Saccharomyces cerevisiae S288C: one gene and its partners. Each later gene encodes a partner of the first gene's protein in a complex. Each region holds a gene or a part of one and is shown on either strand. Other genes may lie near its edges.

Evidence for each region. Proteins that work in one complex are often made in the same cells at the same time.
Region 2: RRP40 (region 1) and SKI6 share a complex: the UniProt entries of both Saccharomyces cerevisiae proteins name them as parts of the RNA exosome complex.
Region 3: RRP40 (region 1) and RRP42 share a complex: the UniProt entries of both Saccharomyces cerevisiae proteins name them as parts of the RNA exosome complex.

Annotation. Positions count from the first base shown.
Region 1 is NC_001147.6:53,539-56,780, forward strand, and holds RRP40 (exosome non-catalytic core subunit RRP40), read left to right. Parts: upstream 1-2,019; coding exon 2,020-2,742; downstream 2,743-3,242. Other genes in the region: NOP8 (Nop8p), read left to right, coding at 1-1,014; lumazine synthase RIB4, read right to left, coding at 1,057-1,566; tRNA methyltransferase PPM2, read left to right, coding at 2,914-3,242. UniProt on the Saccharomyces cerevisiae protein: Non-catalytic component of the RNA exosome complex which has 3'->5' exoribonuclease activity and participates in a multitude of cellular RNA processing and degradation events.
Region 2 is NC_001139.9:886,987-890,262, forward strand, and holds SKI6 (exosome non-catalytic core subunit SKI6), read left to right. Parts: upstream 1-1,895; coding exon 1,896-2,636; downstream 2,637-3,276. Other genes in the region: XKS1 (xylulokinase), read right to left, coding at 1-889; FYV8 (Fyv8p), read right to left, coding at 2,747-3,276. UniProt on the Saccharomyces cerevisiae protein: Non-catalytic component of the RNA exosome complex which has 3'->5' exoribonuclease activity and participates in a multitude of cellular RNA processing and degradation events.
Region 3 is NC_001136.10:262,673-266,097, reverse strand, and holds RRP42 (exosome non-catalytic core subunit RRP42), read left to right. Parts: upstream 1-1,987; coding exon 1,988-2,785; downstream 2,786-3,425. Other genes in the region: YDL109C (putative lipase), read left to right, coding at 1-840; TMA17 (Tma17p), read left to right, coding at 1,134-1,586; TRM3 (tRNA (guanosine(18)-2'-O)-methyltransferase), read right to left, coding at 2,873-3,425. UniProt on the Saccharomyces cerevisiae protein: Non-catalytic component of the RNA exosome complex which has 3'->5' exoribonuclease activity and participates in a multitude of cellular RNA processing and degradation events.

The DNA of each region.
Region 1 (3,242 bases):
AACATTACATTCAGGATCAATGTCAATGGTTCATTGAAAGTTTACAAATGCTATAAGACTAAATTATGGGGTTATGAAAGGAACAAAGAATTGAATGACCTTGTGTACAAGTTTACAAATAATTTCTGGAAAAACGGATACAACCACATTGTCGATAGATTGGATTACAGTCGTGCTGTTAAAACTGTTCGATTCAAAAATGGGCTGAAACAGTTAACAGTGTCAAAAGATGAAAACGTTTGCAGTGGAGAGATGGACAGCGATGAGAATATGTCAGAAGAGGAGAAGGAGAAAAATAATGTTATTCTTAATGACCTATTAAAGGACTTTGACTTCGATAAGCCAATGACGTTGAATGATTCGGACGAGGAACTTCTGACAGAGCAACGTAAAGGAGAGGAAGAAGAAGAAGAAGAAGAAGAAAAAGAAGTAAACGCTCCCGAATACGAGAATGTTAATAAGACGAAGGACCAGAGCACCCTACCACAAGAAAAACCAGAGGAAAGGAAAGAACAGGACGAGGGCGACGGGCAGGAGGATAATGAATTTATTCCGACTTTCACCAAGGAAATTGGTCAAGGTACAATAAGCAACACTGAGACGTTAAGAAACCTATTCAACCCCAACGAGGCAGAACCTGTATCACAATTCAAATTGATTGAAGATTCTGATAATGATATTGATCATGCGAAAGATGTTGATGTGAACCAACTGGAGGAAGAAGTAAGTAAATCATCTGACACCCTAGGTTTGACATCGGCTCCCGTACCACATGTATCTAGAGATAAAGATAACAAAAATTTCTTGTTTTTCCCTCATTTGCAATCGCCATTTTTAGTAGGACAAACACAGTTGAGTAAAGTAAGGGCTCCTGGAAGAGAAACAATGCTATCGAACTGGGATGAGGAGTTCTGGGCTAACAGAGGTAATTGGACCCGTGATATGAGGCGCAAAATGAAAGATGCATTGAAGCACCGTAAGAGGAAACAATCAAAGAGCGGGCTTCTTCTATAGTGAGTATATATACATATATAGTATAGATTTCTCTGCGCTTATTCAAAAAGCATTTTTACCGAACTTAACAGCCATTTCCACTGCTGCAGCACCCCAATCTTCACCATGGTTGTGCATGGAGTGCGCTTCATCGATGCCAGCTCTGGCCAGGGCTTGTTCTTCAGTCATGCAAGTTAAGAGGCCAAAAATGACGGGCATGTCGACTTTTTCTTGTAAGTTCATCAATGCGTGAGTGGTGGAATCTGAAATGTATTCAAAGTGCATTGTACTACCTTTGATAAGTACACCAATAGGAATTACAACATCTAGCGGCTTTCCCAACTTCGCTTGTCTGTCAACAAACCTTTTTGTCCCCCAAGGTAATTCATAGGATCCAGGAACAGTTTCAATTATTATGTTATTTTCCTCGACACCAAGGGAAGCCATTCTTTCAATAGCACCTTTCACAAGAGCGTCAATAATGACACGGTTCCAACGGGCATGAATGATACCGACCCTGATTTTGGAACCGTCATAAACTTGATCTGGTTTGCCTAATCCTTTAACTGCCATACTGCGTTATACTGCGTTATACTGCGTTATACTGCGTTATACTGTTCCTTTTCATGCTTTTGAACCCACTCTCTGGGGCAATATTTCATTGTTCTCTTTTATATGGCTACTTTTCTCTTATTAACGGGGACCTCCGAAAATATCTCCGCTCCCAGAATATGTCATAGAGCCTTAAGAATTGACCTACGGGAACCTCCGAAAACCTCCCAGAGTTTTAATTATACGTCATAGAACCCCAGACCTCTTCGATGAAGTTTCGTGGAAACTAGTTCCATCCACCTCACTTAAAGTTACCTTAATGAAAGCCATCATTGTTTACTAGTAAGGGTAGTGGTGTGACCCGGACCTGATCGGCTGAAATTTTTTGGTTTAGAGAAGCATATTAAACCAACAGCACAAACGGATGCTTCAGCAGCTCATCTCCAGCATTTCGACTAACCAAGAGCATACAAGATGTCTACGTTCATATTCCCTGGTGATAGCTTTCCTGTAGACCCTACTACACCTGTTAAACTGGGCCCTGGCATATATTGTGACCCCAATACTCAAGAAATACGACCTGTTAATACAGGTGTTTTGCATGTTTCCGCTAAGGGTAAGAGTGGTGTTCAGACCGCATATATAGACTATTCTAGTAAGAGATACATTCCATCTGTAAACGATTTTGTAATCGGTGTCATTATAGGGACATTTTCAGATAGCTATAAGGTTTCGTTGCAAAATTTCTCCTCCAGTGTTTCACTATCGTATATGGCTTTTCCCAATGCTTCAAAGAAAAACAGGCCAACTTTGCAAGTGGGAGATCTAGTGTATGCGAGAGTTTGTACCGCAGAAAAGGAACTAGAAGCCGAAATAGAATGTTTTGACTCAACTACAGGACGCGATGCTGGTTTCGGGATATTGGAAGATGGTATGATCATTGACGTGAATTTGAATTTCGCACGCCAGTTGCTTTTCAATAATGACTTCCCGTTATTAAAAGTGTTGGCTGCACATACCAAGTTTGAAGTCGCCATTGGTCTCAATGGGAAGATCTGGGTTAAGTGCGAGGAATTATCTAACACTTTAGCTTGTTATAGAACCATAATGGAGTGTTGTCAAAAAAACGACACGGCAGCGTTCAAGGATATAGCAAAAAGACAGTTTAAAGAAATACTTACGGTCAAGGAGGAGTAGACTACCATGTATAATTAAAATATATAAACACATAGATATCATCAATATTTCACGTCCTTTTTTAATGTCCTTTGAAAAAGCGAAGGAAAAAAAGTTTCATCTCATCTCATCTCATCACATCTAACATATGGCCATAAAATTTCGACAACTATAGTGCACATATCTAATACGATGAAGAATCTGACCACTATAAAGCAAACGAACAAGAATGTCAAACAAGAAAGACGTAAAAAGTACGCTGATTTGGCGATTCAAGGCACAAATAACTCCTCAATTGCTTCTAAAAGATCGGTAGAGTTATTGTATTTGCCAAAACTGAGTTCGGCTAATAATTTCCAAATGGATAAGAATAATAAACTGTTGGAATATTTTAAATTCTTTGTTCCTAAGAAAATTAAAAGATCTCCCTGTATTAACAGAGGTTATTGGTTGAGGTTATTTGCCATCAGGTCAAGATTGAACTCCATCATTGAACAAACGCCACAGGATAAAAAGATAGT
Region 2 (3,276 bases), on another chromosome or scaffold:
TCATGGGAGAGACCTTGCAGTTTGTATTGAAACCGTACTTCTCAATAAAATATTTACAGATGGTACCCGCTATCAAATTTTTCATGGGTGCTCTCATTAATTTTTGTCTGATAGTTTTATCCTTAGAAGAACTATCAATTAGATGTAGTAGCTCATCACTGAATTTTCTTTCACGTATATCATAAAGGTTCATACCACAGGCATCTGCCTCCTCTAATTCAACAAGATGGCCCACTAAGATAGAAGTCAAAAAATTAGACACTAAAGAAATGGTCTTTGTTTTTTCGTAAGCTTCTGGTTCTAATTGTGCAATTTTCAGAATTTGAGGACCAGTAAATCTAAAATGGGCTCTGGACCCTGTTAATTGAGCCATTTTTTCAGGCCCACCTATGCACTCTTCAAACTCTTGACATTGCTTTGCAGTACTGTGGTCTTGCCAATTGGGGGCGGTTTGCCTTGCAAATGCTACAGAGCTCACGTAGTGCAATAAATCTTTTTCCGGTTTCTTATTCAATTGCTCTAACAGAGATTCGGCTTGGGAGGACCAGTAGACAGACCCGTGCTGCTGGCAGGACCCTGAGACGGCCATAACTTTGTTCAATGGAAATTTAGCCTCGCGATATTTCGAGAGAACCAGATCTAGAGCCTCTAACCACATGGCTACGGGACATTCGATAGTGTCGCCGTGTATATAGACACCCTTCTTTGTGTGATAATGCGGAAGATCCTTTTCAAATTCCACTGTTTCTGAATGGACAATTTTTAGGTCCTGGTTAATGGCGAGACATTTCAGTTGTTGGGTCGAAAGATCAAACCCAAGATAGTATGAGTCTAAAGACATTGTGTTGGAAACCTCTCTTGTCTGTCTCTGAATTACTGAACACAACATTAAAGTACTAATCTCATCCTCCTTTTGTTTTTCTCGAGAGGGCCCCCTTATTCGTCCGCCTGAGATTGCATTGGCCGAATTGAAAAGTGACAGTTATGCACCTCAGCGGCTATTCCCTGCGTCGCTTGCTGAAGATTGAGGATTATAGGAAGTAGTAAGCTGGAAATGGTAATTTGTAAAAAGAAAATTTCTAATACTGTGACAATGTTATTAAATCGGGGTTGTTTTTGTTTGGGGCGGCCAGCGGAATAATTTGTTTTCAAGGACAGCAGAAGCTCAGAAGAACAAAATCTCCGTGATCTTTTAAACTTTTTTCCATTCTGATGGAATAATGGTCTTGATCCCCTAAATATTTCCTTTTTTATTGCAATTATGATAGAAATTAATAGTAGTCTATGCTGGATGATATATATATCTCTTTTGAGCTTGCTTCAAATTTTTTCCCGTTATAATGATGAGTGTTTTGCTTATTAAGGGTCTAGGACATTTCTATCAGTTTCTATACCAAAAGAAGAAAAAGTGGAGAATTGTTTGTTTATTTTAATATTTTGTTCTTTAGTTTTAAAAATTCAGAAGAGAAAAAAATTTTATTTGTCACAAGGAAATAAAACATAAACAAAAAAGAAAAATTAAGATTTGCAATTCTGCCGCTTAAGCAAAAGTAGATCATTCACTGGAATATATATATATAAACGCATTTATAATCTTGTAACGTGCACTCAATTTAGCTACGAAAGCCAACCAGCAAGGAACCTTTTATTTGAGTAGGTACATTTACATCTTCGGGTAACGCGGTGAAATTGAAAAATTTTAAGGCATTAATAATTGAAAAGCTAGAAGAAATGGATGAATGAATGACATTGCGAACCATTGTGCAATGAACATCATCCAAAAGAAAACATCATTTACACATATTTTCTTTCCAGGGTCCCACTGGTAAAATCTATTAACATATAAAAAGATTTACAAAAAAACTTTAGTGCCATAACTACAGCAGGATCATCATATGTCAAGACTAGAAATATACTCGCCAGAAGGGCTACGTCTCGATGGACGTCGATGGAATGAACTCCGCCGTTTTGAAAGTTCCATCAACACACATCCGCACGCTGCAGACGGTTCATCCTACATGGAACAAGGTAACAACAAAATTATCACTCTTGTTAAAGGTCCAAAAGAGCCAAGATTGAAATCTCAAATGGATACCTCAAAGGCTTTATTGAACGTATCGGTAAACATTACAAAATTCTCCAAATTCGAAAGAAGTAAATCAAGCCACAAGAATGAAAGGCGTGTTCTTGAGATACAAACCTCCCTGGTGAGGATGTTTGAGAAGAATGTCATGCTGAATATCTACCCCAGAACAGTTATCGATATCGAGATCCATGTCCTTGAGCAAGATGGCGGTATTATGGGATCTTTAATCAACGGTATTACCCTCGCTTTAATAGATGCCGGTATATCAATGTTCGATTACATAAGTGGTATATCCGTCGGGCTGTACGATACTACCCCATTATTAGATACCAATTCATTAGAAGAAAATGCTATGAGTACAGTGACACTAGGTGTGGTAGGGAAGTCAGAAAAACTTTCTCTTTTATTGGTGGAAGACAAAATTCCGTTAGATAGGTTAGAGAACGTTCTTGCCATCGGCATCGCAGGTGCTCATAGGGTAAGAGATTTGATGGATGAAGAACTGAGGAAACATGCTCAGAAAAGAGTCAGTAACGCCTCTGCTAGGTAGAATAAAAAACGCCATTAATTGCCACTGTTTATATAAAAGTACATAAAAAACAGTAAAATTGAAAATTGAACGCATTTACATTTTCGTGTTTCTACCGTAAAGCAAAACGCTTACAGTTTTTTCTTACCTATTGATGCGAATAAATCCTTTGGTTTCATAGAATGCTGGAAAACTTTTCTCCTTAAGTGCGTTACATTTTGGTTGACACTAGCAACCGTGTTAATGACAGTATGCTTCTTACTCAAATCGTCCGCGTTCGCATATGCTTCCCTAACGTGACTATGCTGCTTATACTCCTCAGCTATGAAATCCTTATCCTTATTAGAGGATGATTTTAGCGTATAATTTATCCATGTTTGTATCCCCGTATCATATTCATCTAGCTCACGCTTATAATTTCTCAACTGTTCTATCTTACCGGCGTGCGAAGTCTTACTGTTCAGTAGTTTATTCATATCTAATTTCGGTAAGTTATTCTGCTGCCCCAATTTCGCCATTTCTTCAGTACTGGGTTCATGGACGCTTGTCATTTCGCCTTGAGATACTGTTCTGTTTTCACTTTTGAAAGATGCACTGCGCGCTGCCAAATCATTGGCAGTATTGTTACTATTATCATTATCTGTTGTACTATTATCGTTTC
Region 3 (3,425 bases), on another chromosome or scaffold:
ACACTTTATGCTAATGCCGTCAACGACGGAATAGTTCCCTTGTACTCCTCTTCTTTACTTTTTTTGGACTACTCTCAATTACTTCAGAAACTGGGAGGTCAAACTACGGCACCTTGTGATCCTCTCTTCCAGCCTGAAGTAAGTCCTATTGGGGAACTTCCAAATCATAGCGATGTTGCTAATGATGATGATGGAATCAATGCATCGTCATGGAACACGTTTTGGAAGAGCAAGGAAAATAACTGCGACAAGAAATCTAAACGCTTGATGAATGCTTCCGTCATCAAATCTATGAAGTCTGTGCTTCTATCACCATGCCCCGACGCAAAGTTCTTCTCAGATCCCGATGCAAGGGTCGCAACAATCATACATGATAAGATCTACACAGAAAAGAATTTACCGCCTCCATCACCAACACTTTATGAAGGAACAGCAGCCAAGGAAGGCGAAACGAGGAAGACGAGAAAAGAGATGGAGGAAATCATAGCACGCCGCTGGCACAAGGGGATGCATTGGAGGAAAGTCGTGGTATTGCTGAAACCAGATGCCCACAATAACATCATCGTAAGAAGAAGGTTTTCCAACGCTTACGGCTGGCCGGTGGTTGACCACCTTGTTACCGCCCATTTCCAAAGAGATGACCCAATCGCCTCACCAATGCAAGATAAACAGTTTGCTGAGGAAGATATAAACATGGCAACCGGAGGGGTGGAACCAAACAAGTTCTACTCATGGCTCACCAAGATCGAGGATCCTAGTGTGTACCATGGTGGAATAGTCTCCACAGCTAGCCAGCTCGCCAGCTCCTGGATTAGCAAGCATTCCTCTGTGACAGATTGACTGTCTATCTTGACGTCATCCCGGGATTGACTTGCAATTTACTATTGTCCACACCTACGAAAGTCCATTTTACTTCGTAGTTCGATAAATGCGCTTACGGGTCTTTTTCGAGCGGGACAACTCTTCAGCTCCTCCCCTAAAACCGAGGCCGAATATCCCTTCTCCATATAAATAAGACACTTTTCACCAGGAAAACAATACTTCAGAAGCTTATTTCTCTTGACAAAAAGAGGGGTAAGATCTTTATAAAACATAAAGCAAATCAAAACATAATAACTACTACAAGTAACATAATGTGCTCAGCAGGCGGTATCAGAAGACCAATCCAGATCGAAGAATTTAAGACGGCGATAAGCGGCATGTCCGACATGGAGTTGGCACAGATTAAAACAGAAATTGAGAACAGTATCAATCATTTGCAGAGGTCTAACGCCCGCTTGGGTAAATACATAGCTAAGTTGGAGGGTGCTGACGACCGTCTTGAAGCTGACGACAGCGACGACTTGGAGAACATTGATTCGGGAGACCTGGCGCTGTACAAGGACTCTGTCAGGGAGAACGAAATTGTGCTAAACAATTACAATGAGAGAGTGGACGCATTGGAGCAAGAAACGGTATATAGAAAGACGGGCCATGGCAAGAGTAAGCACGAGGTAGAGGCAAAGGACAACACCAACAAGGGCCCTGACGTTGACATGGACAATTCAAATGTGGACGTCGTGACACCAAACAGCATATTCATTTAAGAGACGGGATTTAGTTTTACTGCGCATCATTTTCACGTCATACTCTTTGTCTCTCTGTTCTATCTCTTCGTATAAATATTTCAATAACTCCATTTGTCTATTCTATCTACCCGTTCTATCCTTACTACTAGATATCTTAAAGAAATAATAAAATAAGTAAATACAAAAAAAACTCGCTATTAATAATTTATCTCCGAAAGCCCTAGGGTGTGCTTTTCTTCCGTGCCCTAGTCTATTATTTTGAACCCTAGTTGGCGAAATTTTTTTCTAATATTCAGAAAAAAGAAACGTAGAGCTTATATGGTGAAGGAGTACAATGATACTAATAGTCTGTAGACGGCAAAAGGCATTCTTTTTGACTAGCACAACGACAGTTTGAGATTCTGTTGAAATAATCATTTATGTCTCTTTCGGTCGCCGAAAAGTCGTACCTATACGATTCACTAGCAAGCACGCCTTCAATTAGGCCCGATGGAAGACTACCTCATCAATTCAGACCTATAGAAATATTTACTGACTTCCTACCAAGTTCCAATGGATCGTCCAGAATTATAGCTAGTGATGGAAGTGAATGTATCGTGAGCATTAAGTCCAAAGTTGTGGATCATCATGTGGAGAATGAACTACTTCAGGTCGATGTAGATATCGCAGGCCAAAGAGATGACGCGCTGGTAGTAGAGACAATCACTTCTTTACTGAACAAGGTTTTGAAGTCTGGTAGCGGAGTAGATTCCTCAAAGTTGCAATTGACAAAAAAGTACAGCTTCAAAATATTTGTCGATGTTCTGGTCATTTCATCACATTCACACCCAGTTTCTTTAATATCCTTTGCTATTTATTCAGCGTTGAACTCCACATACCTACCGAAACTTATTTCAGCTTTTGACGACTTAGAGGTGGAAGAACTTCCTACGTTTCATGATTACGACATGGTTAAGCTTGACATTAATCCGCCTTTAGTGTTTATATTGGCCGTTGTAGGCAACAATATGCTATTGGACCCTGCAGCCAACGAAAGCGAAGTGGCCAATAATGGCCTAATCATTTCCTGGTCTAATGGTAAGATTACATCACCTATCAGATCAGTAGCATTGAATGATTCAAACGTTAAAAGCTTTAAACCTCATTTGTTGAAGCAAGGTCTTGCAATGGTGGAGAAATACGCCCCCGACGTAGTACGATCACTGGAGAATTTATAAAAATATAGTCACAATTAGATAAAAAGACAAATTAGTTTACATACTAAAAACTTCATGGTTAACAAAAGTGGGAATGAAACCTGATTCTTACATGTGTTGAACTGTATAGGAATGAACGATAACTGCGGTTGCCGTTTGAATATTCATTGATCTGATCACACCAAATTGTTGAATCTCTAAACATAAATCCAATTCGCTTAACAAAGTCCCCGGAATACCGAATGCTTCGGTTCCTAGCAAGATCAATGATTTTTTAGGGAATTGGAAATTGTTGTCTAGCTTCACTGATTTATCCGTTTGCTCTAGCCCAATTAATGTGTACCCTTCCTTCTTTTTCTCTTTCATGAAACTTGCAATCTCATCTAGGGCAACTTCCTCCATGGGCATCCATCTATCAGCAGTCACAGCAACATTTTTAAATTGAGGATGGTTTTTGACTTTGATGTCTTGTACAGTAAGCAGTCCCACACCTAAAACATCACATAACCTACAAATACCTCCCAGGTTTGGCGGCTTATCAACTAATGAAGATACCACAATCAATTCAGAACGTGTAACGACATCATTCGATTTTTTATTGTCCAGATCCAGAACGGTTTCCCAAGCTCCACTTTTTGTTTGCAGTGGAGAAGTGTCACAG